Linked DNA regions of Macaca fascicularis. The main gene of each other region encodes a partner of the protein of the gene in region 2 in a complex. Links are inferred from orthologs where the notes say so. Each region holds a gene or a part of one and is shown on either strand. Other genes may lie near its edges.

Region 1 (4,019 bases), on a different chromosome or scaffold from region 2:
ACAGCTTCTAACATAGGTCCAACCAAAGAAAGCCAAACATCCACCCCTAAACCAATCACATTCCGCATCCTACTACTCGTTAGCCCAGGTACAGCTTCTCCATGCCAACACCCTCCAATCAAAGAACACCTTGACGGCTTCCCTTTTTCATAAAGCTTTCCTACTCCTCTGCCTGCCTTTGAGTCCCTACCAAATGCAAGTGATGATGGCTGACTCCCTTGCTATAGTAAGCTCTGAATAAATAGCCTATGCTTTTCTCATTTGGTTGATATTTGCTTATTTCCACATATTGGATCTAGTAATTCACGAAATTCCATGCAGAACTAATTTCCAAAACTTTTTTTTTTAGACACGGTCTCCCTCTGTTGCCCAGACTGGAGTGCAGCGGCACTATCACGGCTCCCAACAGCCTTGACCTCCCAGGCTCATGCGATTGATCGCGCCCCGCCCCGCCCCGCCCCGCCCCGCCCCCCCGCCGCTCCCAGCCCGCCTGCCCCGCCCCAGCCTCTGGGGCTGCTGGGACTACAGGCGCACGCAACTACATCTGGCTAGGGGGGGTGTGTGTGTGTTTGTTTGTGTACAGACAGATCTCACAAAGTTGCCCCGAACTACATCTGGCTAGGGGTGTGTGTGTGTGTGTGTGTGTGTGTGTGTGTGTGTGTGTGTGTGTTTGTGTAGAGACAGATCTCACAAAGTTGCCCCGAACTACATCTGGCTAGGGGTGTGTGTGTGTGTGTGTGTGTGTGTGTGTTTGTGTAGAGACAGATCTCACAAAGTTGCCCCGAACTCCTAGCCTCAAGCGATCCTCCTGCCTTTGCCTCCCAAAGTGCTGAGGTTACAGGCATGAGTCACCGCGCCGGCCTCCAAACGTTTTTAAAAGATACTGGTGCTATTTCTAAAACATCCAAAAAGTTCGCGTGGAACATCCTTTTTACTTCACCTTAATAACCTAAATCAGCATGCTATAGGTCTCGCATTTCCGAAGATCTTCTTCCTGGAATGGACACGACCTTCTGCCCACAAGAGCGATGGCCCTGGTGCCCGAGCGCGTGTGCAGAGCGTCAACTGCTGCGTCTCCCGCAGTCCCCGCCCGCACCAAGTGGAAACTACAATTCCCGGCGGCCCCGGCAGACGGCGGGCCGCAACCCGGGCTGGCAGCTGGCCTCCGCCCTAGGCGCCTGCGCAGTAGCGGAGCCGCACGGCCGCGATGTTCCCGCCAATTCCTGTGGTAGTCCTGACTGTGTCGAGTTCAGCGCTCAATGGAGACGTTTGACCCCACCGAGCTGCCCGAGCTGCTTAAACTTTATTACCGGAGGCTCTTTCCCTACTCTCAGTACTATCGCTGGCTCAACTACGGCGGAGGTGACGGAGGCGAGGAATGGGGTCGGGAGCGGAGTGTGAGGAGGTTTGAGGCGGGGTGTCCTTAGAATGACAATATGAAGCGCCTTCTGTGCGCCAGGCTTTGTGCCGCGCGCCTTCATTTGCTCTCTGGAGCCCGCCCCACCACTTCCTAGGTGTAAATGGGCTGAAAGAGGATATAATAGCCAGCCTGCGGCCACACGGTAAAAAAAAAAAAAAAAAAAAAAAAAAAAACAGAGCCACCGCTCCTACCTCTGCGTGGTCAAGCTCACATTAGGTGCCCCGTTTACCTGCCGCGGTGCCCAGGGGGTTACTGGGGTGTAGCGTGAAGCTGCAGAGACATAGTTTGCATCAGGAGCGGAAGAGCCTCCTGCAGAAGAGAAATACTTTCTTCCTTGCAGCTGAATTTATTAGTGCGAATCGAGGAGGGAGGGGTGGCGTTACATATTTAAAATAGTTATGCATCTGTTTCGTCTTTTGTACCTTTTCCTAGCAAATATGGAATGGTAACTGCTTTCAAATTAGAGACTAGTTCTTGGGGATTTTGTTTTGTTTTTTTTTTTACATCTACCATGGTGTTGAGCATAGGGGGCTCATTAAAAACATCTTCTCGGGCCGAGTGCCGCGGCTCACGCCTGTAATCCAGCACTTTGGAAAGCCGAGGAGGACGGATTACCTGAGGTCAGGAGTTCGAGACCAACCTGGCCAACATGGTGAAACCCGGTCTCTACAAAAATTATCTGGGCGTGGTGGCTCGCGTGCCTGTAGTCCTAGCTACAGCCTCCAGAGGCTGAGGTGGTAGGATCCCTTGAACCCGGGAGGCGGAGGTTGCAGTGAGCCTATATCGAGCCCCTGCACTTCAGTCTGGGCGATAGTGCAGGAAGCGAGATACCCTTTCCGAAAAAAAAAAAACTTCTCATTGGCTAAAGTTATAATGTCTTGAGCCAAATACAGTAGCAAATTAACTTTAAAATGTACATTTATTTTGCAGTGATAAAGAATTACTTTCAACACCGTGAATTTTCATTCACATTGAAAGATGATATTTATATTCGCTACCAATCCTTCAACAACCAGAGTGATCTGGAAAAGGAGATGCAGAAAATGAATCCATACAAGATTGATATAGGCGCAGTATATTCCCACAGAGTAAGAAATCTTTTTTTGATGTATTTTGTTGTTGTATTTTCTATACCAAGAATGGGTTGATTCCGCTTGCGTTTTGAGATTAAAGTTTTAGAGTTTATTCTAGATGAAAAGCCACTTTTTAATTGTTTGGCAAGTGATTAATCCTTTTTTGTTCTTTGACATTCTACATTACTGATGAAATCATTTGGGAGTGAATTGGTTGCATTCTTACTAGGACAAAAAAATTGAGTAACTGGCTACTAGGAAGAGGAAGTCGACATGATTTAAGAAAGGGAAATAGGCCGGGCGCGGTGGCTCAAGCCTCTAATCCCAGCACTTTGGGAGGCCGAGATGGGCGGATCACAAGGTCAGGAGATCGAGACCATGCTGGCTAACACGGTGAAACCCTGTCTCTACTAAAAAAATACAAAAAATTAGCCGGGCGAGGTGGCGGGCGCCTGTAGTCCCAGCTACTCGGGAGGCTGAGGCAGGAGAATGGCGTGAACCCGGGAGGCGGAGCTTGCAGTGAGCTGAGATCCGGCCACTGCACTCCAGCCTGGGCGACACAGCGAGACTCCGTCTCAAAAAAAAAAAAAAAAAAGAAAGGGAAATAATTAGCCAGGCGTGGTGGTACGCGCCTGTAATCCCAGCAACTCAGGAGGCTGAGGCAGGAGAATCGCTTGAACCCGGGAAGCAGAGGTCGCAGTGAGCCGAGATCGCGCCATTGCACTCCAGTCTGGGGGACAGAGCGAGACTTGGCATCAACGAAAAAAAAAAAGAGGGAAATAAAAGAGAATTACATTCTCTCCCACCTTGGAAGTTACTCCCTTTTTTTTTTTTTTTTTCTTTTTTTTTTGATACTGAGCCTCGCTCTGTCACCCAAGCTGAAGTGCAGTGGCACAATCTCTGCTCACTGCAAGCTCCGCCTCCCAGGTTCACGCCATTCTCCTGCCTCAGCCTCCCGAGTAGCTGAGACTACAGGCGCCCGCCACCACACCCGGCCAATTTTTTCTATTTTTTAGTAGAGACTGGGTTTAACCGTGTTAGCCAGGATGGTCTCGATCTCCTGACCTCATGATCCACCCATCTCGGCCTGCCAAAGTACTGGGATTACAGGCGTGAGCCACCACACCCGGCCTCTTTTTTTCTTTTAATTGTTTATTTTTATTGAGGTAAAATATACATATAAAATTATTATCTTTACCACGTTTAAGTGTACAGTTCAGTCATAATAAATATTTGTATTATTTTTCTTTCATACCCCTGGAGTTATTCTTGATTCCTCTCTTTCTCACACTCCCATACCCATTCTATTAGGAAATCCCTTTGGCTCTACCATAAGTATATCTAAAATCCAGCCACTACTACCAGTGCTACCAACATTATCATCTCATCTGAATTACTGTAAAAACCTCCTAACAGTTTGCCCTTGTAGAATCTAGAGTCCATTCTCAATACGGAACCTAGAGTGATCCTTTTAAAACAACTCAGAATCTGTGATTCCTCTGCTCAAAACATTATCTGGTGGCTGC
Region 2 (3,562 bases):
CTATACTGTCTTCTACTGATACCAAATACTAATTCAGAACAGAAATCTAGGAGTTATATCTAGCACAGGCCACATTAATTGTTAAGAGCCATATATGAAGTCTATTTCAAAGGAAAAAAGACATGACCATGAAGAAACTCACAGAGGTTACTGACAAAATTAATCACTCAGCATTGGTATTAGTAGGATCAAGAAAAAAAACTTAAAAACCAACTATGAGTAGTAACAAATAAAAACCTAGGAGTTTTGGGATTAATAGTACAATATCATAAGTAACCTGAATATCATTATGAAAACTGAATTAACTTATTTCCTAGAGAAACACAGAACAAAACTACCAAGGGTATATAACTGAAAGTGTGAACATGTCAAATATGGAAATAAAGTAAAATACTTACTGCCAAAGCCTTGGACAGTTTGGCTCTAAATTCATTCAGGATGATTGCCACAATGTCCTTAAGTGGTACGTAAGCAAAGCCATCTTCCAAATAGACTTTCCTTCCTCGAAACAAATCCAGAGCATCAGCAAAAGGGATCTGAATTAAGAGTGAAACAAGGAAAATAAGTCAGCACCTGTCATTAAGAAATCCTCCTAAGTCTTCATATGTATAAAGTATAAACAAAGAAATTCATTAGTCCTAGCAGAGCCAAAAGAATAACAAAATGATTAATTTATCCTCCTTAAAACTCAACAGCACTAGCAAAGAGTGGCAGTACAAAAATATGTTCGTTTCAGAGTTATGTTTTGAAAAATAGTAACACTAAAAGGCCAAGTTGGAATACTTTCTTTTATTCCTTAACCTCTGAATTTACAAAACATAATCCCCAAGACTTCTACACATGTTGCATTCACCTCACATATCCCACACCGTATTCTGCATCAGAGAGAATCCTAATTTGTAAACAACATATTCAGTGCTGAAAATTACTTGTAAGTAAAGTAATTCCAGTTTCTTCATCTACGTTTCCATTCGCACTCCAGAGAAATATATTGAGAAAGCTAATCTCAATACTAAGAAATGGAAATAATAATAAGCATTCGGTTTTGCTATTAAAATAAGCATTTGCCCCAAGTATTTATTTTTTAAAATCTTAGATTTTTAAACCCCATGAACAATCCTAAAATTCTGAAATGAGCAAAGTATGATATTAGTAAACTGTAAAAATCATTCTTACTCTCCAATAGTTTTTCTTTTTTAAAAAAACGAGGTTTAAAAAGTAGGTGAAAAATGACTCCCAAATTGCCTATTCATTCAAGTTTTAAGGAAGAATTAAATATAAATGCATACAATTTTCTGTATATCCAACGACATCGCACACTATAAACAGATCATGTGTTTTTTAACAACTTTCAATTAATTTACCGATTTCTACAACTACAACACAGTCCCTGCCCTCATGGGCACACATGGAAAGTCAAACAGCCCTACAGGATAGAACTGTGTGATACTGCACCAAATAGGTAGCTTAGATAGGACATATTAGAGGAGCAGGTAAGAGGGTTTACTGCAATAATATAGAGAAGAAACATGAGTTCTAGTCCAAGCTCTGATACTGACTAGACTTATTTGGTGAATTTAATGAATGCCTCTAAATCTCGGCAGCCAGATCTGTAAAACTGAGAGAGGGGAGGAAGAGATAGGCTAACTGACCCTTAGGGATTCTTTAGCCATAATATTCCATGATTCTAGCTTATTAAGGTGGTCACAGAGGAAATAAAAATGCCCAAGTAGAAGCAAAAGATGACGTGAAGGCAGAGTAACTGGAAATGTGTGGTGTAAGAGAAATAAATATTGATCCCCACACTCTAAGCTTAAAAGGCTGACTGAATGATGGCCCAACAGTCGAAACAAAGAAGCTGGAATGGGGCAGGATTTTAAACTACTGGCACTCACTCATAATAATTAGCACATTCTTTTCAAAGGAAATTGTGGGGTTACAGTTATCAAATTGTAAAATGAATTTAAACTCATCCCTCTTCCCCTTCTGGAAGGGTTCATGTGAAGTAGTTACCACACTGAGTGGGGAGGGGAAACTGGGGTGGCCCAGCACTGGATGATGGAATCTGAGTAGGTTAAGGAGGGCATTCCCATAGGAAAAAAGTAGGCTTACAATGCCAGAGCCCAGTGGAATGCCAGAGACCATGAGGCAAGACACCACAATGTCAGAGGCCAAGAGAAGCGAAAGGGGCTTCCACGCAAGGCAGCAATCCAAACAGAGTGTTGGGCCAAATGGGTGATGAGGGTTTCCTGGCAGGGGACAGCCCAGTGCAGGGTGTAAGGACCCAAACAATGTGAGAAGGGTTTCCTTTAGGAAAACAGCCTGTAGGGGGAAGTCAGAGCCCAAGCAGGGTTGGGAATGCGTCTGTGGAAGGAGACAGCCCAGCAGAGAACACTGGCACACCATTAGTGCAATGAGGACAGTATCTGTGCAAGAGACGCAATAGCTGTGGTGATGAGAGGCTATAAAAATGGATTAATTAAATATGTATATAAAGCTTAATGTGACATATTTAACAAAACCTAGGAAGTATTTTACATGTTTACATACCTTATAAATGGACTCCAACACCACCTTAGATCCACTCGAATTTGGTGATGAGGCAATAATCTCCTGTTCTCGAAGAGTCTTCTCTTCATCACTTATCTAAAAAAAACATTTTAAGCTGTTATAAAAATTTGAAGTCCTCATTCAGTTTCAATAAAATGATTTCCTGTATTAATGAATACTGTTTACTTTTATTAAAAATTTTAAAACCTTGATATCTCAAATCATTTCTAACATGATATCTGAATCATTATCATTAGTGAAGGCAAAATACAGAAAAAAAATCTAAATTGAATATTCTTTCAAATTTTAACCTTGCCAGTTTCTGAAGGTATACATCAAAAGAACAGTAGCAGACAAAGAGAAAATATTTTAATGAGAAAAAGGAAAAAATTTATAATAAAACTCAGGTTAATATAGACTAAAAGTGAGCATTATCCTAATTTGAGTTATGTTAACTTATTAATCTATCCTAATTGAGGTTAGAGTGGTTTGACTATTTCTTAATTTTCTAGCCACATAAGACAATTCCAAACTTAAAACACTAGTTTTCCTAGGAAAAACTACAAATTTATTATCTCAGACTGATTATGGCCCTATAAAAAATTGATAGATCTGATAAGTAAAAGTGTTAAACTTCAAGACCAATATATATATATATTTTTGTAAATGAAGATGAAATATCAGTGACAAACTGAAGGAAATATTTACATCATCTGATATGTGAGTTAGCCTCGGTAAGCCCCTAGTTGGCAGTATGTAAGCTTTTGTAACCCAAAAGTAGTAAAACATGAACGCCAATAGTTATGTAAGTAAAAATAATAAATGCTAAATTAAAATAATAATGTGTAATATGTTCCATCTATGAAAATAGTAAAAATTAACAAGATTTAGAATATACAGTGTTAGGACAATCTTTGTGTACCATACTATGATAATATATAGCAAATAGCCTTTAAAAATGCAGATTGTAACTATTTTATTTCCAAATTAATCACAAATAAATAACAGGACA

Evidence for each region. The genes of interacting proteins can lie anywhere in the genome.
Region 1: the proteins of PRIM2 (region 2) and PRIM1 are in contact, whole or in part, in a crystal structure (PDB 5EXR), measured with the Homo sapiens proteins. The link is inferred for Macaca fascicularis from reciprocal best matches to the Homo sapiens genes PRIM2 and PRIM1. Residues at the interface, in NP_000938.2 of Homo sapiens: Glu165, Ala168, Ser169, Pro171, Ser172, Phe188, Ala189, Leu192, Phe195, Arg196, Gly197, Arg198, Val200, Tyr201, Leu202, Glu203, Asp204, Gly205, Phe206; in NP_000937.1 of Homo sapiens: Lys147, Glu148, Asp149, Phe150, Gly151, Phe152, Ala180, Val181, Gly184, Ile185, Glu187, Tyr188, Ser190, Leu191, Lys193, Lys207, Ile208, His209, Pro210, Ile212, Arg213.

What each region holds. Positions count from the first base shown.
Region 1 is NC_088385.1:63,560,900-63,564,918, reverse strand, and holds the start of PRIM1 (DNA primase small subunit), read left to right. Parts: upstream 1-1,182; 5' UTR 1,183-1,259; coding exon 1,260-1,362; intron 1,363-1,611; exon of another isoform or gene 1,612-1,740; intron 1,741-2,350; coding exon 2,351-2,508; intron 2,509-4,019. UniProt on the Homo sapiens protein: Catalytic subunit of the DNA primase complex and component of the DNA polymerase alpha complex (also known as the alpha DNA polymerase-primase complex - primosome/replisome) which play an essential role in the initiation of DNA synthesis.
Region 2 is NC_088378.1:114,362,260-114,365,821, forward strand, and holds part of PRIM2 (DNA primase large subunit), read right to left. Parts: intron 2,647-3,562; coding exon 2,551-2,646; intron 537-2,550; coding exon 399-536; intron 1-398. UniProt on the Homo sapiens protein: Regulatory subunit of the DNA primase complex and component of the DNA polymerase alpha complex (also known as the alpha DNA polymerase-primase complex) which play an essential role in the initiation of DNA synthesis.